7 linked regions of the Canis lupus familiaris genome follow. The protein of the gene in region 3 binds, or shares a complex with, the protein of the main gene of each other region. Links are inferred from orthologs where the notes say so. Each region holds a gene or a part of one and is shown on either strand. Other genes may lie near its edges.

What was found.
Region 1: PLRG1 (region 3) and RBM48 share a complex: the UniProt entries of both Homo sapiens proteins name them as parts of the minor spliceosome. The link is inferred for Canis lupus familiaris from reciprocal best matches to the Homo sapiens genes PLRG1 and RBM48.
Region 2: PLRG1 (region 3) and CTNNBL1 share a complex: the UniProt entries of both Homo sapiens proteins name them as parts of the PRP19-CDC5L splicing complex. The link is inferred for Canis lupus familiaris from reciprocal best matches to the Homo sapiens genes PLRG1 and CTNNBL1.
Region 4: PLRG1 (region 3) and CWC15 share a complex: the UniProt entries of both Homo sapiens proteins name them as parts of the PRP19-CDC5L splicing complex. The link is inferred for Canis lupus familiaris from reciprocal best matches to the Homo sapiens genes PLRG1 and CWC15.
Region 5: PLRG1 (region 3) and DHX16 share a complex: the UniProt entries of both Homo sapiens proteins name them as parts of the minor spliceosome. The link is inferred for Canis lupus familiaris from reciprocal best matches to the Homo sapiens genes PLRG1 and DHX16.
Region 6: PLRG1 (region 3) and CWC22 share a complex: the UniProt entries of both Homo sapiens proteins name them as parts of the minor spliceosome. The link is inferred for Canis lupus familiaris from reciprocal best matches to the Homo sapiens genes PLRG1 and CWC22.
Region 7: PLRG1 (region 3) and SF3B5 share a complex: the UniProt entries of both Homo sapiens proteins name them as parts of the minor spliceosome. The link is inferred for Canis lupus familiaris from reciprocal best matches to the Homo sapiens genes PLRG1 and SF3B5.

The regions. Positions count from the first base shown.
Region 1 is NC_049235.1:18,074,932-18,077,313, reverse strand, and holds the end of RBM48 (RNA-binding protein 48), read right to left. Parts: coding exon 2,167-2,382; intron 816-2,166; coding exon 729-815; 3' UTR 501-728; downstream 1-500. UniProt on the Homo sapiens protein: As a component of the minor spliceosome, involved in the splicing of U12-type introns in pre-mRNAs.
Region 2 is NC_049245.1:26,820,126-26,824,094, reverse strand, and holds the start of CTNNBL1 (beta-catenin-like protein 1), read right to left. Parts: upstream 2,801-3,969; 5' UTR 2,789-2,800; coding exon 2,666-2,788; exon of another isoform or gene 2,546-2,665; intron 1-2,545. UniProt on the Homo sapiens protein: Component of the PRP19-CDC5L complex that forms an integral part of the spliceosome and is required for activating pre-mRNA splicing.
Region 3 is NC_049236.1:52,571,453-52,575,480, reverse strand, and holds the start of PLRG1 (pleiotropic regulator 1), read left to right. Parts: upstream 1-1,228; 5' UTR 1,229-1,374; coding exon 1,375-1,383; intron 1,384-2,691; coding exon 2,692-2,798; intron 2,799-3,087; exon of another isoform or gene 3,088-3,159; intron 3,160-3,830; coding exon 3,831-3,973; intron 3,974-4,028. UniProt on the Homo sapiens protein: Involved in pre-mRNA splicing as component of the spliceosome. Component of the PRP19-CDC5L complex that forms an integral part of the spliceosome and is required for activating pre-mRNA splicing.
Region 4 is NC_049242.1:6,115,128-6,119,255, forward strand, and holds the start of CWC15 (spliceosome-associated protein CWC15 homolog), read left to right. Parts: upstream 1-1,328; 5' UTR 1,329-1,459; exon of another isoform or gene 1,460-1,542; intron 1,543-1,657; exon of another isoform or gene 1,658-1,774; intron 1,775-2,905; exon of another isoform or gene 2,906-2,918; 5' UTR 2,919-2,926; coding exon 2,927-3,057; intron 3,058-3,614; coding exon 3,615-3,727; intron 3,728-4,128. UniProt on the Homo sapiens protein: Involved in pre-mRNA splicing as component of the spliceosome. Component of the PRP19-CDC5L complex that forms an integral part of the spliceosome and is required for activating pre-mRNA splicing.
Region 5 is NC_049233.1:606,622-610,121, reverse strand, and holds part of DHX16 (pre-mRNA-splicing factor ATP-dependent RNA helicase DHX16), read left to right. Parts: intron 1-439; coding exon 440-694; intron 695-883; coding exon 884-1,087; intron 1,088-1,164; coding exon 1,165-1,356; intron 1,357-1,896; coding exon of another isoform or gene 1,897-1,946; coding exon 1,947-2,057; intron 2,058-2,228; coding exon 2,229-2,344; intron 2,345-3,500. UniProt on the Homo sapiens protein: Required for pre-mRNA splicing as a component of the spliceosome. Contributes to pre-mRNA splicing after spliceosome formation and prior to the first transesterification reaction.
Region 6 is NC_049257.1:23,697,426-23,700,925, reverse strand, and holds part of CWC22 (pre-mRNA-splicing factor CWC22 homolog), read left to right. Parts: intron 1-2,638; coding exon 2,639-3,225; 3' UTR 3,226-3,500. UniProt on the Homo sapiens protein: Required for pre-mRNA splicing as component of the spliceosome. As a component of the minor spliceosome, involved in the splicing of U12-type introns in pre-mRNAs. Promotes exon-junction complex (EJC) assembly.
Region 7 is NC_049222.1:35,794,967-35,797,394, reverse strand, and holds SF3B5 (splicing factor 3B subunit 5), read left to right. Parts: upstream 1-1,183; 5' UTR 1,184-1,317; coding exon 1,318-1,578; 3' UTR 1,579-1,928; downstream 1,929-2,428. UniProt on the Homo sapiens protein: Component of the 17S U2 SnRNP complex of the spliceosome, a large ribonucleoprotein complex that removes introns from transcribed pre-mRNAs.

The sequences.
Region 1 (2,382 bases), on a different chromosome or scaffold from region 3:
ATAGTTTACCTTTTTTTACTTTACAGAATTGTATTGATTTTGAAGCCCTGGCATTCAGACACATCCTGACTTCTAGTTTTTGAATGTGAATTACTCAATACTTGTATTAAAATCAGAAGCAGATCCTGACTGCCTATCTTTACTTGCATTCTAAAGTTTTTATCTTTGCTTCACTTCATTTACCTATAATTACTGCAATGTGAGAATAAGAACAGTTTCTGTAATATTAAGTATGATCAAAATAACACCTATAAGTAATGATAAACTAATTTTACTTTTTAAGTTAGCCAACAAGGCTTAGATCTTAAGGCAAATCCTGTGAATAAGCCTTTCATAACCCCCTTTTCTCTTGCTTCCTCAACCACAGAAGTTGAAAACCTTAAAAAAAAAAGAAAAAAGAAAAAAGAAAAAAGAAAACCTAAACATTTATTTACCATGCCAGACCTCCCCAGTTAGGAACAGCCATGAGCCCAGTTCTAGCTAGTAAGATGTAACCAGAATCACTGGAAAAGTTGTTTTCTTTTATTAAGGAATATATTTGGCTGGCATGTATTTTGTCCATGATAAACTAATTTTAAAAGATGAAATTTTATTAAATAAGTAGGTTGAATGATATTACAAAGAGGAATGCATTAGAAAATTCCTGCAGTACAACCTCTTCAAGAATTAAAATGACAGGCTAAAAATAATAAATAGTCCCTCAGGAAACATAATTTGCTGCTGGCAATCTATATTCTTCTTCTTTGTTTTAATGGACGACTTGAATGCACATCTTCCAGCTTGTCTTCTGGAGGTTTTGGCACAGATGAAATTACCTAGTTTAAAAAAAGAGAACCACCAACATTTATTCCTTATAGCACAGGAATAAATAAACTAATAGAAGAGGTAGGATCTACATCTAGTAGTTCAAATCTTGCCATCACATTGGAGGCAGAGTGAGTCCAATTTCAGGGTATAGCCTACAGAGCAAAGTTTTCTGTCCAAACACTGATGGGAGTAAAATTTCTAAAGCCATTTAACAAGAAAAAAAATTTGAAGGGAGAAAAATAAATATGTACTCTTCTATAATAATCCTTTATTATTAGCATCTGTAGTAAGTTGTGTTTAAGCATTTCTCATTTTTGTTGTTCTGCTGTTTCCTTTTTAGGAATTGAACCTAACAACTTTTTTTCTTGAAAATACAGTCTGCTCTGGCTGAGAGCGCTATGCATCTCTATCTATGCCTCAGCTCAGCTGTATTTGAAGGAAGGGGGCCAGCACAAACTAAAAATTTTAAAAAGAGGCTTAAGCATGGAAACTGCGTTTATAGATTTTTGTTATTATAAAATAGGAGCTCATCCTTAATGAGATAGTAATTTTCAGGTAAAAAAAAAAATACACATAAACTAAGCCACCTCAGACTCCCTTAATCACTCTGTAAAATATACATACAATTACACAAAAAGCACTCTCTGAACCTCAGATTAAAGTTTAAGAGAATGGTCTTTCTTCCTCAGCTTGATTTCTACGAGGTTTGCCCCATAAAAAAGGTATCTTTCAAAAGCTAATTCAAATGTTAGCTTTCTTTTATTGGTGCTTGGAAAATGTAAAATGATTACATAAATAATATGTAAAGAAATTACTACTTAAGTAGTACAATCGAGCTGTATTCTATTTAAGGAGCTGACATTTTGAAATGCAGACCGTAGTGGCTAGTCTTTAGAAATCTCATCTTTTTCTATGGCTATCTTTATCAAAGAAGAAAAAAGCATTTTAATTTAATGTAATTTTGTAATAACTTTAAAGAAATAAGTTGTAGTAATTTTCCTTCAACACAACAGTTCTGTACTTTGGCTCATAATAGAACCAACCAGGGAGCTTTAAAAAGGGAGGGCCTGGGCTCAATTCTCACAGACCAACCTCACTGACTGAAACCACTGCTTTTATAGTTTAGAGCTAGAATGATATGAAATACATTGTTTAAAGCAAGGATTAATGACATCAAAGCACATACATTTCTGTTAAGTCAAATTCAGTTAATTCAACAGAACTGTAGAAAAACACATAAAAAAAAAACTGAAAATGAAAAAAATTAATGACAATACTTTAGCTGCCACAAATCTCGATTTAGCTGTTAGTCCTATGACCAGATGGTCTCTTAAAATAGTTTTTTAAAAATGATCTTACCTCTTGAAGTTTATTCCGAATTAAATTTGCTGTGGTATTCAATGAGTCGTCATGCATGTCCACTTTAGGTATGTCTGGTAACAGAGGCCCAATCATAACCTCATTACTACTTGTGCTTGTTTCAAGAAAAGTTCCAATTTTACGATCATCTTCTCTTCTTCTTTTCCGCTCCTGCAGTTGTGTTGTCCTAGGCATAAATCTCTCAACTGCCTCTGA
Region 2 (3,969 bases), on a different chromosome or scaffold from region 3:
TCTTAAAACAAAACAGAAAACCAGGTTGGGTAATCATTCGGTTCCAGTTCTGGCTCTGCTCCTGGCTATTGTCCTTGGGCAGGTAACTGACCTCCCTAGCTCAAGTGTCCTTTTCTATAAAATAGGCATGCCCCTCACCTCAAAGCATGTTGACAATTAAATATAAGAATCCATCTGAAAGCACTTTATTCAGCATCTGGCACAGAGTAGGCAGGCACGACAGCACAGTCACTAGGAGCTTCAGTTATGAGGCAGGTGCTTTTCTGTACCTCAGTTCCCTAATCTGTACAACAAGGATTAGAGACAGTACCTTCTTCATAGGGTTATTAGAAAGATTTTGAGAGATGGTACAAGTAAATGATGCATCTTTCATAGCTATAAAATGTTACTGTTTTTGAAGAGCTTTTGCGTTCATTAATTCAAATGATCTTCACCTACTTCCACAAGAGGATGGGTGCATTTGATTGATTATGAACTAGATTCCAGACTGTACCATCTTTTAGGAACAGGAGGAGTGGACATCCATCTTACGAAAAGGAAATTGCATGAATAGTGCATATGGGGAATGAACAGAGATGAAAATAAGGAGATCAGGATTCTGGTTTCAACTATGCCAGTACCTTAGCCCACAGCTGCAGAGAAGTGCTTTATCAGAATGGGGTTCACTCCTCATCTGTAATGAAGTGGGCTGCATGAGGTTATCTATATAACATCTCTCCAAATAAAATTTGAACTCCTTACCATGGCCTACAGGAAGACCTACATTGTCTGTCATCTGCTTACATCTCCTATTCATCATCTACCATTCTCCTGCTCACTCACCATGTTCCAGCACCATCAATCCTCTCACTGATCTTCTAAAAGGCTGTACCAGCTTCTACCTCATAGCCTACATACGTGCTCTTCCCTCTGCCTTGATTCTTCTGCCCTTTTACATGATTGGCTCCTTCTCAACCTTCAGTCCTTTAGCATCCATTCCTCAGAGTCCTTCCCAGACCATATTACCCAAAGGTAATAGGTCCTGTCTCCTACTGCCAGGGGTTATTTTATTTTTTTTTTTAAGATTTTATTTATTTATTCACGAGGGACAGAGAGACAGAGGCATAGGCAAAGGGAGAAGAAGGTGCCTCACAGGCAGCCCGATGTGGGACGCAATCCCAGAACCCCGGGATCACGCCCTGAGCCAAAGACAGACACTCAACCACTGAGCCACCTAGGTGTCCCTCAGGGGTTATTTTCAATCATAGCACTATCTAATAAAAATATACTGAAAGCCACAAATGAGCCACATATACAGCCACATATAACTTTAAATTTTCTAGTAGTCATATTAAAAAAAAGTTTAAAAGAAAGTAACATTAACTTTAATAATATATTTTCTTTAAGCCAATATACCCCACATATCATTTCAACATGGAATTGATATAAAGATTATTAATATACGTTACATTAATTTATTTCACACTAAATCCTGGAAATCCAATGTGTATTTTACACATAGCTCTCAATTCCACACATAGCTCTCAATTCCAACTAGCCACATTTCAAGTAGCCACAGGTGCCAGTGGCTATCTCACAAAACAGCACAGTTACAGAGTATACTCTGCTTAGCCTTCAAGAGCCTATCACAATCTGAATTTACTTACACACTTATCATCTTCTAACTTTCTCACCAGACTACAAGCTCCACAGAAGCAAGAACCTTGTCTGTTTTGTTCAATATTGTATACTCAGAGGATTTTGAACAGTAGGCGTTCAATAAATGTTTTTTGAGCAAATGAATGAATCTCTTTTAGCTTCAATATTCTGAGTCAGTGGGCCTGCCATTCTACAACTCCCAAACAGATATGTAACCACTCATTCAACAACCTTATTTCCTTTCTTCTTTCATGTTCAATAACTGTCTTAAAAAGAGAAATCTCGGGCAGCCCCGGGGGCTCAGAGGTTTAGCACCTGCCTTCAGCCCAGGGTGTGATTCTGGCAACTCAGGATCGAGTCCCATGTCGGGCTCCCTGCATGGAGCCTGCTTCTCCCTCTGCCTGTGTCTATGCCTCTCTCTCTCTCTCTCTGTGTGTGTGTTTCTCATGAATAAATAAAATCTTAAAAAAAAAAAAAAAGAGAGAGAGATAAATCTCTTGGCTATATATCTCCCGTTGCTTATAAGTTCTTTTCTACGACGTCTCCAAGGTCTGTTCTTCATATACTGGCTGAGGGAGTGACATGAATATAATTGTTAGTGTTTGCTGAACTTTTACTCTTTGACAAGCATTGGCAGACCATTAAGAACTTCATGACAGACTTATGTGGCAGGTACCATCTTTGCCCCTAATTACACATGGGGAAACCAAGGCACAAAGAGTTAGTTAAGTAAGTATTCTGTGCAAGGTTACAGCAGCCAGTTAATAGCAAAAGAGACACTCCAAGGAACAAGCAGCCCCGGCCCCTAGTTCTTAACGACCTATTCTCTACTGCAGACCTGCCAATGGAAATACAAGACCGGTTATATATGCAATTTTAATAGCCACACTAAAAGGTAAGTAGCCACCTGAACAACGTGGACAGCGGGGCTCTACTGCCTCTCACGAGGGGCCCCTGTAGGAAGTCAAGGAGGGGGAAACCTTTGAACTGGGAGCCAGGAGACCTCAGCTCCAATCCCAGCTCTTACTTGTTGAGTGACTCTGGATAAGTCCTTTCTGCCCTCTGGGCCGCGGATTCCCGCCAAGTAGCCAGAGCAGGGAGGACGAGAAGATTCCACGCTAGAATTCCACGCATCTCCTAACAATGGCATGGGAACAGCTCTTACACTTTACAACCAGCTTTCACACCCGGTAGTTTGCAACGGAGGCCTCAGACAACCCAACGGGAGGGTTAGGACTGTCGCCGTCTTACAGATACAAAAACTGACGCTCAAAGAGGGGGAGATGACTCGTCCGAAGGGCACATGGCTAATTACTGGGGAAGCCGGGGTCAAAGGCGGGCAAGGCCAGTGCCCTCCCACCGCCGCCACCAACACAACGCCCGGGGGACCGGAAAGCCGACGAGATGGCTGCGAAGGTGGCCGGGGGCCTGCGGAAGAGTTGACGGGGACCAGGCCCCAACCCAGGGTAGGGCAAGAAGAGGCCCAGGCTGCAGCTGAGACGAAGGAGCCTGCGCTCTGAGAAGGAATGAACCAAAGGGCCCAGGAAAGTCTCAGGGGAGTGGAGTGAAACGAGGGGCTCGGACGCCGGAGCCTCAGGAGCGCGGGGGACGCGGCCGGGGACAGAGGCGACGCGGGGGGAGATGAAGGGGCTCTGGTCCCGCGACCGCAGAGCCCTGCCTGGGTGAGGGGATGGCTCCCGGCCTGCCTCGCCCCTCATACCTGGTAGCTCAGAAGTTCGCCCACATCCATGGTACCAGGCCCAGCCAACACCTGCTACTCAGCTTCCCTCCACTCACGGCCAAACCGCGGGCCCCTCCGCTGCGGCTCCGGCCACACTGCCGGAAAGCGCGGTGAGCGGGTCGCACGGCCAATGAGGTAAAAGTGAGAGGGCCACGGAAGCCGGCCACACTGCTGTAAAAGGCAACGCCACCGTAACGCGCGCTGCATTTGCGACGGTACTGCTTCCGCCCGGAGCCTGAAGGAGGCGGGGCGTGGGGGGAAGGGGGCGGAGACTTGGAGGAGGGCGGTAGGGTGAGAGGAAAGACCCAAAGGAGCCAGGATTTGTTGGGCGCCCCCTATGTGCAGGGCGGAGCAGCGAGAGTTTCACTTGTGCTCTCCAATTTTTTTTAAAGATTTTATTTATTTATTTATTTATTTATTTATTTATTTATTTATTTATTTATTTATTTATTTATTTATTTATTCATGAGAAACACAGAGAGAGGCAGAGACATAGGCAGAAGGAGAAGCAGGCTCCATATGGGGAGCCTGATGTAGGACTCGATCCCAGGACCCCAGGATCATGCCCTGAGCCACCCAGGCATCCCTAT
Region 3 (4,028 bases):
GGTTCCCAAGTACATATTGCACCATTATAGAATTTCTTTATGAGGCCCACCACCAGTGGCTACTGCTGCAGAAACTCAGTAGGCCAAACTCACTCAAATTCAAACACGATTGTATTTTCAAGTAGAAACATGACCTTAATGTTTTTGATTAATTAAGAATCAATGTACATCCAATGAGATTAGCAATTCACATTGATATACTTTTGATAGGATTTTATTTATTTATTCATGAGAGACACAGAGAGAGAGGCAGAGAAACAGGCAGAGGGAGAAGCAGGCTCCATCCCTGCAGGGAGCCCGATGATCAGGGACCCCAGGGTCACATCCTGGGTCCTGGGCCGAAGCAGATGCTCCCCCACTGAGCCCCCCAGGTGTCCCTCAATAAGACTTCTTCCCTCTCCAAGCCCATGCGGTATGCTGAGATCAGTGGAATTGATTAGCTTAAGGAACAAGCAGGGCCAGTGAAATATTTGCCTATCGGATTTACAAATGTTCAACTCCTGTTTGCATAGAAAAGTAATGGGACAGGCTTGATCGAAAACTGCATTTTACCTAAGACAAGACAATATAAAATACTGCTATTTTGGCACTAGGATGTGTATAAATAAAAGTGGCTCGAGTCTTCAGTTGTGTCTTTCTTCCGCCAGCTTTGAAAAGCTGCCCTTTGATACTGTCGACGCCACCACGTTCATTAGCAGACTGGCTGAAAATCGTGCGGTTTTGAGAGATTTAAAAAAAAAAAAATCTATGCAGCGTAAAAATAAATGTGGGGATTTGCCGTACAGGGCTACAACAAAGATCTTTGCACACTTTCTCAAATGCAAAGTGTTCCGCAACATCCGGCCGCCAAGGGTTAACGGGACAGCATCAGCGCAGGTGCTCTCGGCAGCCGAGGCCGCAGCGCGCGGAGGCTTCCAGGCCGGGCAGCCCCGCGGCGCAGCGGGAGCCGAGACGTCAATCAGGGGAGCTGGACGCGGACCGGGATTCGCTCTCTCCAGACCCTCCCTAGAACGGACTCCTTGGGTTCGCTGGGAAAAAAAATAAAATTAAAGGATTAAGCTTGGGGAGGCACAGCGCAAACAACCACACCCCTGAACCGAACTACTTAAGTCCGAGCCGAAGGCTCTTCCAAGACCTCCTCCGGGACGCCGCTGAGCCCCGCCCACCTCGCCGAGGCCACGCCCCTCTGGAGAAAGCCCCGCCCCTCGATCCCAGAAGGCCGCCGGGCGGCTACCGCGCCTGCGCGGAGGCCCCACTTCCGGCGCCAGGGCGCTCGATTCCGGAAGGGCTGCGCGGCGGCGGCGGCGGCGGCGGCTTCTGTGTTGCGGGCTGGTGTCCCTTGTCTGTTGGAGCGGCGAGTCGCACGGCAGCATCATGGTCGAGGTAAGGTGGCGCTTGGTGCTGAGGGGTCGTTGGCTTCCGCGGTGTTTTTCCTTGGCGGCGGGCGTGGGGGGGTGTTCGCGGTTTGGGGATGGTGAAGGCTGCGGAGGGGGGCTGTCTGGCCGAGGCCGGGTGGTCTCTGAAGGTTTTCAGGGGCAGAGGAAGGCCGGGTGGGAGCCCTGGCTGGACGTTACCCGCGGCCGCGAAGCCCGACTGAGTTTCCACGGTCCGTATTTGGCTCTTGAGCGTCGGGTCTCGGCCGGGCCCCCGGAGGCGCCGCGTCCGGCCCCGCGGGGTCCCCGCCTGCAGAGCAGCGTCAGGGGCTGTGTGTCCTGAGGCGGGCGGTCTTCCTCCAGCTCTGCCCCCAGGAAGACCTGCCATTTTGAAGTTTTGCATCAAACTGTTAGCCAGCCTTGCCCGTCTCATCTCAGAAATACTTCTGGAGCCTTGTCCAGACCCACTGCCTTCGCCTTAATTCAGATCCGGCGTCATCCTTCGTCTGCACGAGTGCCTTAGCTCCCTGCTGGTGTTCTCGCTTCCATTTCTTCGCCCTCTGCAAAATTGATCTGTTTAAGATATACGTTGATCGCGTTTTTTTCTGCTTAAAATCCTTCGCTGGCCAGATGTCACTAGAGCAAAAGTGCAGACTGTTGCAGTGATCCTTTAAAAAAAAAGAATCCTTAACCTAATCTGCACCTTGTCTACCCTTGCAACCTCATCCCAGCCTCACAGTCCACCTTCCAGTGGAACATGCACAGTTCTCTTGCAGCTCCGGCCATCATTGCAGCCACCAAACCCCTGTGTACCTGGCATTTCCTCTCTGCCTGGATTGTTCTCACCTCTGCTCTGCACGAGGCTGAATTTCTGCCTAAGGAATACCTCAGAGAGATCTTTCATAACTATCCTAGGTTCTTTCTTGGCTTGCTTCCTTCATAGCACTTATCAAAGATTTGTTGCTTATTTTTCGTTTTCTCTTGAGCACTGGGACCATGGCTGCCTTGTCATCATTCTTTTGTTAGCTTCTAGCACAGTGCCTGCCAGACACATAGTAGGAACTCAGTAAATACTTGTTCGAATCAATGGCTAAGCTCAGGCATCACTAATTGGTATACCTGGGGCTCTGGCCATTGAGGAGCTTCCTCCTCCTCTCTGACCTTGACTTCTTCTATCGCTTGCTACAAATAGCTGTGGTGAGTGGTACAAAGCTTTTTACATATTTAAATGTGTAAAGTGTATGGCTGCTTTGACTTAATTTAGGTTGTGGTATGTGTCATTTGTAGCTAGATATGTGATTCTGTTCTTTCTTTTTAGGAGGTACAGAAACATTCTGTGCACACACTTGTGTTCAGGTCATTGAAGAGAACCCATGACATGTTTGTAGCTGATAACGGAAAACCTGTGCCTTTGGATGAAGAGAGGTAGGTATTGTTCCTTTTCAGTTACTGGAATATGTAACTTCTAATGTTGGGGGAAGAGAGCAGGGAGAGGGGGACCTTTAAAGCTTAGTGAGTGATACTAACACTCGTAGGATGTCTATTCGGTAATGAATGGTGTTTGGGCATGATTTAAGCTGATTTAACTTTTTTTGGCCTTGTCTTTCACAATAAAAAGTCCCATTAATTAATTGCATTTATAAATACCCAGTAATTAGGAGAGTCCCTTTTAGGTGTTTTATTTTATAATCAATCACTTTGTATGTGCTTTCAGCTTCCCGCTGCTCTCAGAGCCTTGCTGAGCTGAAATTGTACCTGGCCAGTACCTCTACTCCCATCTTTTCTCGTTAGTATGATGAAGATTTTTGAGTGGTGGCATATTTTTGGTTCTACATCTCCAGCTCCAGTCTGGGATTGCATTATGTGCAGTGTTCCTTCTTTGTCCTTTACCCTTCTTTTAAAATCTACTTAATTCCTAAGACAAGCATTTATATTTAATTTATTAAGTGAGCTGTTCTTAAGACTAATATAAGTGCATTTCTTTAAAAAATATTGAACTAATTAACTACTTTGATTAGTTCTAATTGGTCTTTTTAGATACATCCAGTAAAGGTTATGATAGAAGCTTTTACTGTGTTTTTATATTGACACATTTGAAGGAAAGTGTATTGACTGAGGTTTTTAAAAGGATATATTAGTTTCTATATGTTTTTAAATCAGACCCTTGGTAATTTATCATGAAAGGTTATATATTTATTGGTTAACAAATTAAAATGCTACTTAGACTTAATGGATGCTCTGTGGTGGATTGGGAACAAAAAAAGTGTGGAAATGCACTTGGAAATTCCAAGCTTTTTAAAATACTATTTAACTTTAAAAACTTCATAGAATTTTTTCTACATGATTAGGCAAACCTAAGCTATTTAAGTACTTGTGTTCTTGGCTGTCTATATTTCTTTTGGCTAATATATTTAAAGCACTCAAAGATACATTCTTATGTTCATAATTTTTAAATAGTCACAAACGGAAAATGGCAATCAAGCTGCGTAATGAGTATGGTCCTGTGTTGCACATGCCTACTTCGAAAGAAAATTTTAAAGAGAAATGTCCTCAGAATGCATCGGATTCGTATGGTCATAAGCAGTATCCTGCCAATCAAGGTGAGGATGTATTATCAGAAATGTCAGGACTTACATGTGAATTTTCAAAATGAAA
Region 4 (4,128 bases), on a different chromosome or scaffold from region 3:
CTTGGGTTCTCAGGTCACATTAAAGAATTTGACCTTTATTCTAAGTGCAGTGGGGTTTTTAGGCAGAAGAGTAACACTACCTGATCCATAACTTTCAAAGATCACTCTCACTGCTATCTGCAAAATTAACCGTATGTAGGGCCAGAGTGGAAGCAGGAAGGTCCATTAGGGAGCAATTATAATGCAGGTGAAAAATCCCAGTGGCTTGAACTAGGGTAGTGGCAGGGGAATGAAATTTTGGGTATCATACTTTAAAAGTAAAATGGACAAGTCTTGGAAATAAACTATATGTGAGGAGTCAAGTAAAAGGGATTTAATCAGGAGCCTTGAGGTTTTGGTTTAATAAGTGGTACCTGGCAGTGTCCTTTACTGAGACGTACAAAACTAGGGGAGAAACACCATCCCTAAGAGAAAAATTTTTTATCTTGACCTTCAGAAAGGAAGGGGCTGCTTCTACTTTTTAAAAGAATTTACAGGTTTCAAAGGAAGAGTTCTGGAAATAAAGCTTTTTAATGCTCGATTTTATGAGCTGTTTATATTTGACACCAAGTTGGAGATGCTGAATTTTCATCTGTCTAATATTTATTGAGCATCTACTGTGGCCAAAGACCATGTGATGAGATACCAAGATGGACTAAACAAACGAGCTCCCTGCTCCCAGTGCTTTTTGGAAAAGGGAGAACGGACGACTGGCGTTCGTTGTCTCATTAAAAGTTCCCCCAACGCCCGAGTAGCCATCTTCCAGGAACTGCATCTCGCGCTCCTGGCAGTTGGGCCCAGCGTTCCAAACGCTCATCATCGGGCTAATAAGTGAATCTCTAATAGTGACATCTCCCCTCCCGCTAGAACTCAGGCTTTTTTAAAAAAAAATGGAAATGTTAACAAACAATACGAATACAACCTTTGCCTTGAAGACTAGTATTTTTGCAGGAATGGTACCTTTATAAAGATCGTGGTTGCCCCCGTACATATTTGTTCTTTCTTCATATCCAATTAAATGAAAACACTAGTTTTTCCGCAGCCCACTCTAGGCTGGCTGGGTCTAGCTCAGGAGAGAGGAAGCCGGAGCCGTTGGCTTTAAACACTTGGGTGTAATCCTTCTCTACGCTCCCTCCCGCTAGCCGGGGACTCGCGGTCCGCTACCCGGGGCTTTCCGTCCACGCAGCGGCGGAACGAAGGAGGCTGGGAGGGGGTCGGGGAAGGGAAGGACGCGAGAGACATTAAGTAATTGGCTCTTGAAGGTATAAAACGATGTTTCGGGTCTACTCGAAAGCACGGATTTCAAACGCCCGCCCCCTGGGCCGTTTCGGCCCCGCCCCCCGCCGTCATCACGCCGACCTCCACCCCGCCTGCTGCCGATTGGTCTCCGCCTCGGCCTCGGAAGTGCGGCTGAAGAGCCGGGGTTTGCTTCCGGGTCGTGGGGCTCGGGCCCGGTCCTGGGCGCGGAGGCTGCTGGGAGGTGAGAGTCGTCATGGTGTCTGTGTGACTTGCGGAGGCTGTCGCGTTAGACCTTGGTCGACGTGTGCCGCGGGAGGGTAGCAGGTTGTCCGTCCCGCGCGGGTGGGGCGGGGAAGGCCGGCAGCGGCCGGAGTCGGCGGTAGCGGGCCGGGCGTGGGCGCAGGGGCCGCGGCGGGGGCGGGGGCGGGGGCGGGCGGCGGCCGCGGAGCGCGCAGCGTGAAGGCAGTAGGCGGGCGGCGGTAGCGGGGTCCACACCCCTTCCTCCCCCGAACCCCCTGCGAGTCGGGCCTCGGGGTGAAGAGCCAGCGAGCCTCTGGTAACAGCCCGAAGGCCAGCCCCCGGGAGGCGGGAGTGACCGAAATCCGGGAGTGTGCGGGCGGCGGCGGCGCCCCCAGCGGCAGGAAACCCGGGCTCTCTCGGCGCAGATCCCTTTTCCCTTTTTAAAAAATCGAGGGACGTACACTCAGTGCCCGCCTCCCCCACCCCGGTTCCCCGCACCTGGCTTTTCGGACGCTCGACGGGACTTGAGTAGCCACGTCTGCTAGGCACCCCTCTTGGCAGCCCCAAGCCAGAAGTAACGGAAGGGGTCCCCGAGTTTTGTTTATCGGAATCCTTTGGTGGTGACTTTCCTTTCATGAGCATCGTCACCTACAAAAATCTGCTTTGTATTCTAATCGTTGCTATAGAAGAAAGTTGGACCGACAAAAGGTTGTTGGAGAATCCTGCCCGTGTAACTGTCCTTAAAGTTTAGCCTACTTTACTCCAGGACACTCCGTAACCTTGTCGGTGATTTTAAAACAACCTGGTTTTGTAGTTAGTAGCCTGTTTTCTGTTGTATGAGGTTAAGTGCAAACCTTAGGGCATCTGGTGGACTAGGGTTAAGCTGAGAATTTTTTTTTTAAGATTTTATTTATTTATTCATGACAGAGAGAGAGAGACACAGAGGCAGACAGGCAGAGGGAGAAGCAGGCTCCATGGATCAGGCCCTGGGCGGAAGGCGGCACTAAACCACTGAGCCACCTGGGCTGCCCATAAAGCTGAGAATTTTTAAAACTCAGTGTTGGCAGTACTAAATTTTGCAAGGCTTTGACATTTCAATTCCTTTTTTTTTTTTTTTTTTGACATTTCAATTCTAATAATAACCCTGTGGGGGACATTGCCCATTCCTCAGAACTTGGAGCTGGATGACTTGCCCAGGGCCCCAGATACAGAAGGAGAACAGGAACACCAACTCCCATCTTCATGAGAGAATTTTTTGCCCTAAATAAGAGTTGCCTAAGAAGCTATATTCCTTATATACCCTGAGCTTCATTATGTGTTTTCTTGAGAACTTTTGTTTGAGATTATTAATTTTGGAGAATGAATTCTGGAAATTATTTCACAAGGATGAATATTATTAATATCTTATGAAATGAGAATATATCATATTGGAAATAACTTGATACAGTTTTTCTTTAAAGCATAAAAGATGACAACAGCAGCTAGGCCAACTTTTGAACCTGCAAGAGGTGGGAGAGGAAAAGGAGAAGGTGATTTGAGCCAACTCTCAAAGCAGTATTCAAGTAGAGACCTACCTTCTCATACAAAGATAAAATATAGGTAATGAAGACTTTTTATTTTCTTGTTCAGAAGACAAGACTAAATCTGTTAAATGGCATGCTCATGAGATTCTAGCGTGTTTGGGGTATATCACTAACCTATTTTCATAGGGATAGAATGCAATAGAGTGTTTAACATTAAAACTGTGCTCTGATTATTAAAACACTACCATGTACTACTTATGCAGAAATCCCTATTAATTGGGAATTTCCGTATGTAGATGGCTCAATAGCAGTGACCTCAGGGCCCATCCACTATCAGCACTACTCAGTGTGAGGTGAAAAGTGTCAGACTAATGAGCCCTGAATTGATGTACTAACAAAAAGTAAAGACATTTTAATTACTCCCCAGCCTTATGGGAAAATATGTGACTCAGTTTGGGCTTTCTGAAACGTTGGAAACATTACAAGAATGCCTGTTAGTGACCTTCAGATTAGGGTAATGATCTCATTTAGTTCCTTGAACTTGAGGACAAAGTGGCTTTTTGCGAACTGTCTTCCCCTGCTACAGCCATGTATCTTTTTAGTAATATTTTCACCAAATTGTTTCTGCTTTAGACAAACTACTCAGGATGCCCCTGAAGAGGTTCGCAACCGTGACTTCAGGAGGGAGCTGGAAGAGAGAGAGAGAGCTGCTGCAAGAGAAAAAAACAGAGACCGTCCAACAAGAGGTACCAACACTGCCCCCAGATATTTGTCATCATGAAATTATGTTGACAATGGTTTTTCTTTCATGGCTAATTGGAGCTGATTAATATTTTTTGTTTGCTTGCTTTAAAATGTTGGCGTAAACAATATAAAGTATTGTTTGCTTTAAGATTGGTAACACTTTCTTAAGTGATTAGATTAGAGTTGACTCCAGTTCCATCTCTTTGTGCTTCCTTAGCAGAAGGAACAGGATGATCTGGGGATATCTGGCAGTTCTTGTTTCAGTTTACGTAAAGGTTTTTGTCTTAAGATTTATTTGAGAGAGAGCACATGTGCATGAGCAGGGGGAAGGGCAGAGGGAGAGATAATCTCAAGCAGGTGGGCCTCAATCCCAGGACCCCAAGATCATGATCTGAGCCAAAAT
Region 5 (3,500 bases), on a different chromosome or scaffold from region 3:
GCAGAGATACAGGCAGAGGGAGAAGCAGGCTCCATGCAGGGAGCCCGACATGGGACTCGATCCTGGGTCTCCAGGATCAGGCCCTGGGCTGAAGGCGGCGCTAAACTGCTGAGCCTCTCAGGCTGCCCTGTTTTCCTCCTTTCCACTAAGTCGAATAAAATAGAATAAAACCTAAAACATTCAAATAACCCTAATGCATCTATATTGACCAGGATGGCGAAGCTGTCCAGAAGGGCCTTCAAGCTGGATTGTGCTGCTGAAAGATAGTGTTGGGGGTCAGTGTGTGGCTTTCAGAGAGGCCCAGTTTGGGGCAGGTCAGGTTGGACATTGCAGAAGGACACTGCTGGCCTGTTGGGGGATTTGTCACTCTTACAGATAGGTAAGGAAGGGGGTTGCTGTTCCAGCAAGATGAAGATTTGGCTACCCTGTCCTGACCCAGGTTCCCGAGCTGCGGAAGAAATCACGCCGCGAGTACTTGGCTAAGCGGGAGCGAGAGAAGCTTGAGGACCTAGAGGCTGAGCTGGCTGATGAGGAGTTCCTTTTTGGGGATGTAGAGCTGAGCCGACATGAGCGGCGGGAGCTCAAATACAAGCGGCGAGTGCGGGATCTGGCCCGAGAGTACCGGGCGGCTGGGGAGCAGGAGAAGCTGGAGGCCACCAATCGTTACCACATGCCCGAGGAGACCCGAGGCCAGGTGAGGCAAAGCAGAGTCCACTTTAGCCCTGCTCTCCAAGCTGAGTGGAGGGAAGTCTTCAGGGCTTTGGACAGGGCCTCCACTGGCCCCTTCTTGGTCTTGCCTTTCCTAGTGGGTAGGGATAGTGACTGGAGAGGAGAGACCTGGGAAGAGGGCATCCTCTGTCTTCACATGTCCTTCTCTCCACAGCCATCACGAGCTGTGGATCTAGTGGAGGAGGAATCAGGCGCCCCTGGGGAGGAGCAGCGACGCTGGGAGGAGGCCCGGCTAGGGGCAGCATCTCTGAAGTTTGGGGCCCGAGATGCTGCCTCCCAGGAGCCCAAGTATCAGCTGGTGCTGGAGGAAGAGGAGACCATTGAGTTTGTCCGGGCCACTCAGCTCCAGGGCAACGAGGTGAGCAGGAGAACTGTGGCACGTTCTAACGAGGTTGGGAAGCCGACCCTGAAGCTCACACCCCTCCTCCTCTGCAGGAGCCATCAGGCCCATCGCCTCCATCCCAGGCCCAGCAGAAGGAGTCCGTGCAGGCTGTCCGCCGCAGCCTCCCAGTGTTTCCATTCCGCGAGGAGCTCTTGGCTGCCATTGCTGATCATCAGGTCCTCATCATCGAGGGTGAGACGGGCTCCGGGAAGACCACCCAGATCCCGCAGTATCTCTTTGAGGAGGTACAGTCATCCGCACCCTCCAGGTTACCGGCCACCGGCCCTTGACAAGCACAGTCCTGTCAGAGCTCTTTTCACATGTTGTTTTGAGCAGTCACTTACCTTTTCATCTTTAATCATAGTCTTCTCCATTAAATTGTGAGTTTAAGAATAAGGGCAAACTTGTTTCCTGTTTCTGTTCTCACTTCTAACACAGTATCTGTGTCTAGTGCCAGCATTCGTGTTGGAAAGATGCATAAACAGGTAGATGGTGGGGTTGGGACCTTCCCATACCAACCCATTCAGCCATCGGTCCTCTGCAAAGGACAAAGAACAAGGAGTCAGAGGATTCATTTTCTTGCTTTTTCACCTTCTCTGGCTCCCCCTTGCTTCTGGGTCTGCCCTAGTTGGTCTGTCCTTTTCCATCTCAGATCTAGCTGAGCCTGAATGTGATCACCCAAAAGTCTGGGACCCTCAGAGGGTCGGGTTTTCAGTTTCTGTCTGTTCCTTCATCTCCCCCTGCCCTGTCGTGCACTTACACCTTTTTTCTCTGAATTATCCTAGGCCTCAGGAATATATTTAGCAAAGGGAAAACCTCTTCTCTTGTCATTCAGGGATACACAAAAAAGGGAATGAAGATTGCCTGTACCCAGCCCCGGAGAGTGGCAGCCATGAGTGTGGCTGCCCGAGTGGCCCGGGAGATGGGTGTGAAGCTTGGGAATGAGGTGAGATCTGTGGGGCCTAGGTAGGGAGGGGAGCCTCTAGGGTCTGGGACGTAGCCCACACTGCATAGGGCTTCACACCACACGTCCAGGCACTGACCCCTCATTCCCTAGCCCTGCACTCCCTTCCAGGAGTACCAGCCCAATCTCGATCGTTAATGGTCCCCTTGACAGGTTGGCTACAGCATCCGCTTTGAGGACTGCACATCAGAACGAACTGTCCTCCGCTACATGACAGATGGGATGCTCCTCCGGGAGTTCCTCTCTGAACCTGACCTTGCAAGTTACAGGTACACATGGGGTCACCACCTCCCACCAGAGAGCCACCACCATTCCTGCCCAGTCTGCTGCATTCTGACCCTTCAGCACCTTCCTGTGTCTTCTTTAATCTCTAGCCTATTTTTCCTTTCTTGTCATCCAGCTAGTTTGGCCTTTGTCTTCTGATTAGCCCACCGGTTCTTTTTTTTTTTTTTTTAAGATTTTATTTATTTATTCATGAGAGACAGAGAGAGAGAGAGAGAGAGAGAGAGAGAGGCAGAGACACAGGCAGAGGGAGAAGCAGGCTCCATGCAGGGAGCCTGACGGGGGACTCCATCCCAGGTCTCTAGGATCATGCTCTGGGCTGAAGGCAGGCACCAAACCTCTGAGCCACCCAGGCTGCCCAAGCCCACCAGTTCTTGAAGCTTGATGGTGTGGACAGTCCTAGGACTGACCTGTAGGCACCATGGAGATGGGGTAGAGGGACTGCAGAGATAGACCCCCCACCCCCCATTGCTTGCAGTGTTTAGAAAAACACCAGGATGGCAGAATGGTGCTCTAGAGACTTGAAAAGCCACGTGAAGACCCTTTGAAGAAACTTAGAATGTCCAGCTTAGAGAGAAGAGACTCAGGGAGACATCCTGGTTCCTTCTAAATATGGGAAGGGCTGCTCCGTGGAAAAAGAGGTCAAGCTTGTTTCACGTGACTGCAGCGAGCACAACTAGCAACCACGGGAGTGGCTATAGGGGAAAGAGGTTTCAGTGCAACACTAAGAAGCGAGAGTGGTAGAGATTGAGGCCCTCAATTGAGGTAGAGATTGTGTGCTGGGGCCCTCATCTTGGGCCTTTGGCCCAGGTCTTGGAGTAGCTTGGTCTGTGAATAGTACATTCCCAGTGCTGGTGTTGGCCAAGCAGAGCTTGGATAAATATGTGTTTAGGAGGAGAAGGGATCTGTGCATGGGCTGCTGGTGGGATCAGGCCAGCTGAGCAGTATGTGGTTTCTCAAATCTTAGGAGGCTGTGAAGTTCTGGTCCTAGAAGATCACAGATGGAGCAACAGGACAAATATGATCTGAGCTTTCACATCCCTTGCAAAAATCTCAGAAACCATGGAAGGCCAGCTAGTGCAAGAGTGTTTAGGGTGTGCGGTTTTCCTGTCAAGCCAGCCTGCTTTGTGAAACAGCTGGGGA
Region 6 (3,500 bases), on a different chromosome or scaffold from region 3:
CAGATATTTTTTCGAATATCCCTAAATATGGAGATGTGTCTGATGTTTTTTTACATGGTTGGAATGAAGTTATGCACTTTTGTACAGAGTACCATAGAAATGATGTATTCTTAGTGCATCTTGGAGTTCATATCGGTATGTCTTATTGGTGATATTAACTTTGATCACTTGGTTAAGGTGACATCTGGATTTCTTCATGGAAACTCCTTTTCTCTATAGATTAATATCTTGTAGGGAAATAATTTGATACTTTGTTAAATTTCCTCTCTCTCCTCTTTCACTCTTCAATTTTAGCATACATCTTTGGATCTCATCTGCAGTACTTAACTACTATGGTGTTTGCCAAATGTCATTTTTCCATTTGTCTTTTTTCTTCTACATTTAATAACTGAATTTCTTCTTTAAGAAAGAGTTGTCTCCCCCTCCCACCCCCATTTATTTATTAAGTATCTTTTATCAGTGTGAACTCAGTGGCTATTCATCTGAGTGAATGAGTTAAAGTCCATTACTGTCATTTATTTTGTTGCTCACGTCATTTCAGCTTTGGCAATCAGGAACTCCTTCACATTGGCCCCTGTGTTCTTTCAACATACCCCTATCATTTTTTTGAGCACTGCCTTTCTTCATAACATCTCAAGTTGTTCAAGATCTTTAGTGCCTTTAAGCAGAAAATTTTAAATCTTTCTCTGGCATTTCTAGTTGTTCTCAGCAGGGGCTGTGGTCTCCACAGCTTTCTCCTTTCTCCCTGGAAATGGAAATACAGTAGTAAAGGATTTTTTCAAATGTGCAATTTTCTGAGATGGTCTGTTGTTTTCCCCAGGGTCAACTGTTTTTTTTCATCATAGTATCTTAGTCTAAAAATAAGAGATAGTCTAATTGTCTAAAATGCATATCATTTCTTTTTTTTTTTTTTTTTTTTACAAATTTTTATTTATTTATGATAGTCACAGAGAGAGAGAGAGAGAGAGGCAGAGAGAGAAGCAGGCTCCATGCACCGGGAGCCCGATGTGGGATTCGATCCCGAGTCTCCAGGATCGCGCCCTGGGTCAAAGGCAGGCGCCAAACCGCTGCGCCACCCAGGGATCCCTCATTTCTTATTTTTTAATGCATATTCCAGAGGCAGGAAAAGTATGTTGGAAGGTTGATCTTTACACTCTTGTTCTCTGGCTTGTTGCACTTAAAAGAGTATTACATACTGTGTGGCAGCCAGAATTGTGGGACTCTCAGTGTTTTATATTATTAGAACAAGATTGCATTTGCCCACAGGAAGTCTTATTCTTGAATTAAATATATTAACATTGTTCATTTAATATTCACCTCTTTTAATTCTAAAGAATTTGTTATTTCATGATATCTGTTTTGAGAACAGATGATAACACAGCATGAATTGCTGCAATAAGGAATCTTGCTGATTCAAAATTAATTTGCCTCATCATCCCATTTTAGCATAGAGCTTTCAGTTTTATTGGTAAAATATTAAGTAGCATAAGAGCAGTATGAACTGCCCCAAAATTAGAAAATTGTAAAGCAAATACCAAAGATTGGAGAGATTGCATATTATGGTAGGGCTCAGGGTTTTGTGTCAGCAACGCCCTGAGAGTGGTGTAGAGTTGGGTCAGAGAGACATTGATTTAGCACACAGCCAGATGGTTTCTGCTTGGGTAGCTGCAGCTCAGCTGAGGAACCAGAAAAATAAATCCTTAGTGGCAAACCAATGGACTGTGCCAAGGATAGGCATTTGGCAGGAGAAATACAGGTTGGTACAGTGAGATTTGGGTGGAGATAAGGCGAAGGTAGGCAGTTTTCTACCGTATTTTTTTCTTTCTGTATATATACGAATTTGACACAAACTTCGGTCGTCTCAGCAACCTTGATTTATGTACTCAAAAGAAATAACAAAGATAAAGTGATTAAATTTGTTTTATAGCTTAAAATTTCTCCGTGATTATTTAATATTTATATTTGTTTATTATATCAGTAAAAATTGTTCTAGACCATTTCAGAACGGTTTTTCTCAGAAATCAAGCCTTCATAGCTCTCATAAAAGCTCATGATTATATGTCTTAACAAGCTTCTTCTCTTTCTGGTACAGATACTTCTCCCTGATAGCACTGGAGAGCAGAGCTGTTGTTTTTTAGGAAGAGGCTTTTACTTGAAAAATATATATTCATGCTGTTAAACAAACTCCATCATCCTACTCCCCCACCTTTAGGGAGTGACGTTGCTGGCATATCTAATCACTGTCTTTTTATTATTAACATGCCAGATCTGACATATTTCATATGACAAAGTGCACATGGGCTGGAGTTTTTGAATAAGATTTATAAGTGGAAATATATACCTGTTAGTCACTTTATAAAAAATTTTACATTTGCTATAGTTTATGTCAAGTTTCTGTTTACAGCTTTGAGTCTAAGGATCAAAATGGTACTTTGGTAACTAATGGTGATATGATATATATTCTTAAAAATTACTCATCTTGTACAATATTCTGACATCAGACTTTCCATTCAATCAGTTTAGTTTTGCATCCAGCTTATCTGAATTAATAAACCTACAATAGATCAGTAACTATAATTGTTAAATTATGAAATTAAAGATTAAAATAAAACCTAACTATTTCATTTTACACATGCAGCTAAAGATAGAAGAAAGAAGGGACAAGGGAACAGCAGAAGTAAAGAAGTAGATAAATTGATCAGGAAACAACAAACCCACGATAGGAAACAAGAAGAAAGAAGGCCAGAGCAAAGACATCAGGAAACAAGGACTGAAAGAGAAAGACGGTCAGAAAAATATAAAGATAAAAATTCACGGGATCCAAATTGGAGAAATCCCATAACAAAATACACTTCAGACAGAAGTGTTCCTTCTGAACGAAACAGTTACAGTAGAATCGTGAATGACAGAGACCAAGAAGTGCACACAGATTTGGAAAATAAGCATGGTGATCCCAAAAAAAAGAGAGGAGAGAGAAGAAATTCTTTTTCCGAAAATGAGCACAGACAGCGAAATAAGGACAGTGAAAATGTTGTAAGAAAAGATAGATCAAAGTCAAGAGAAAAGACTAGAAAACATTCAGGCTCTAGAAGTGATGAAGATAGGTATCAAAATGGTGCCGAGAGGCGATGGGAAAAATCTAGCAGATACTCTACACAATCCAGAGAATCAAAGAAACATCAGGACCGGCGAAGAGAAAAATCTCCAACAAAGCAAAAAAAATAATTCTACAAAATTACAGAAACTGAACATGCCTTATATTCAGTTGAGACAAATTATTTTTTACATTAACGAACTTTATAGAGAATTCTTGTATAAAGTACTGGTTTGTATTTGTACATTTAAAATTTTTTTTCATTTTAACATGTTTTATAATTGATACATCTCAAGGCCCTCCACATAAAATTATTTGAGAAGTTTCATTAGAGAGGGATGTAATTCTTGCTTATATTTTGTTAATAAAATGATCAAATGTTCATTGAATCAGTGATTTTCTTCAT
Region 7 (2,428 bases), on a different chromosome or scaffold from region 3:
CTAGACTTACTCATCTGTACCTAACTGCAGAACAGAACTATTTTAAAGTCATCTTTCTCCCACTAAAGAGTCCCTTCTATTTGCTGCCACAGTTGTTCATCCATTCATCAAACGTTTTTTGAGAATGCGAGCTCTACCAGGCCAAGTATCGCAAGTGTGGTTATCACAAAAAAGATGCCACAAAAGAAGCTATGATAAATGATGGCATCAAAAAAGTATACGCTACTTTCCCCCAAGTAGTTTGAATTCACACGAGGGAGTTCTCAGAAAAAAAAAAAAAAAAAAAGAACCCAAAGCGTAGGCTATAAGGCGATCATAATGAAGCGATGTACAGGAGACTTTACGTCTGTCTGGTGTGGCCAAAGCCGATTTCAAGGAGATGCTTTTGAGCTGACTTAAAGAGAGAAGTTGTTTGCCAAGGGAACAAAAGCATTCCAAGCGGAGGGAACATCTAGTACAAAGAACTGGAGAGGCGAGCGGCACGGAATGCTGAGACACACAGGCTGGGGTGCGTAGGGTGGGGCGAGCAGCTGGAGGCAGGACATCAAATGAAGCAGCTGGAGCGCCGGGGGGCGGGGGGGGGCGGGGGGGGCGGGGCTCGGTGTGGGAGCCCGAACGTGTCGGCGCCCGAACGTGTCGGCGCCCGTAGGGTCCTCGGGCACCGGGCGGGAAACGGCGGCCCCGCCAGCGCTGAAGGAAGACGCACAGCTGGGAGCCGCAGTCGCGTCGACCGATTCTCAGGGTGACCCACCCCGGGCCGTGACGGGGCCCACCACGCCGCCACATTCGCTCCGAAACCAAAGTTACACCGAGGTTACTCTCACGGCGGCCTGTGGCAGCTCCCCATTTCTTCGCAGCTCCCAGCCGCCCAGGGATGCTCCCCGCCTCCCCGACACGACGCTCCACCAGGCGCCGGCGGGCTCTTAAACCGCGACGACCGCCCAGGGAGGCGGGCGCGCACGAACCCTCGGCGACCGCAGCTCCCGGCATGCAACGCTCCGCGCTAGAGCAAGGGCCACTGAATGAACCATGATGCAACGCTCTACGGAGGGGGCGGAGCTCTCCATGGCGGGGGCGGGGGGTGGGCGGCCGACTGGTAGCGTCGCCTAGGCAACTCCAATTCCCTGACGGAATACACTTCCGCTTCCTCCTCTGAGCGCTAGGACCGCGAGTCCTCGCGGCTCCGTGGCTGTGACGTCATTCTCCTGCGACTGAGCCGGCCGGGAGGTGCCGTGTCGTGGGCTCTCTCCCGCGTGGAAGTCTAGAGCAGCTTCTCCTCTGCGGCGTCTGACCTGGGCGCGAAGGGAAAGCGGCGAGATGACTGACCGCTACACTATCCACAGCCAGCTGGAGCACCTGCAGTCCAAGTACATCGGCACGGGCCACGCCGACACCACCAAGTGGGAGTGGCTGGTAAACCAGCACCGCGACTCCTACTGCTCCTACATGGGCCACTTCGACCTTCTCAACTACTTCGCCATTGCGGAGAATGAGAGCAAAGCGCGAGTCCGCTTCAACTTGATGGAGAAGATGCTGCAGCCTTGCGGACCGCCAGCCGACAAGCCGGAGGAGAACTGACACCCCCGTCTCGTCACTGCCACGCGGGAGCGTGTCCCGAGTTCCTCCCGTTTGCCGTTTCTCCCGCGTGTTCCTGCCCCGAAGTGGACCGGTTCTCCATTGCTCCTGTTTCTCGCGCCTTCCTCGTGCACAAGTGCTTAGCTGAGGCCGTCCCGCCTGACCTGCTTTCCTGTGGACCCTTAGGAACAGCGTTGGGAGACTGTCAGGACCCGTGAGAACTGAGACGGTGGAGAGGTCCTAAACCAGCAAGAGAGGGGGGAAGGAACTGGGATCAGACGGGATTTGGAGGCTCTTTTTTGGCTAGTTGATTGTCGTTTCTTTTTCCATAAAGTCTAGAAGTTTTTCAATCACTTGGTGTGGACCACTTGCGTTTGAGTGGAAGGGGGTCCAAGGAGGGCTTTGGGGACTTTAGTTTCTTGGGAGACCGAAGAGGCGGGAGATGGATGGGTGGAGGAGTTGAGCACAGGGCCAGCGTTCATTGGCATACAGTTAAATCCGCCTTGCACGATCTTTATAATATTCCCCAACCCAGACTTCTCCCAAGAGCTTTTTTCAGGCCCATAATGCCTTCAGGACTGAGGATTAAGGTTTATGATCACTGTATCCCTCTTTCATGTTCTTGCATTCAGAAAAATCTTTACTAGCATTGCCCACTCCTCTATGTAAGTTGCATCGTCTCTTTCTCTTGGGATTCTGGACACATCCTGAAAAACGACAGGCTGTCAGACGAGTTCTTTCATTCATTCGGCATTCAACAAATACTTGTTGAGTCAGTTCTATGTGGTGGGCATTTTGCCTCGCTTTTGGAGCTTATGTTATACTTGGGGGGGCACACAAATTGTAGGCATAA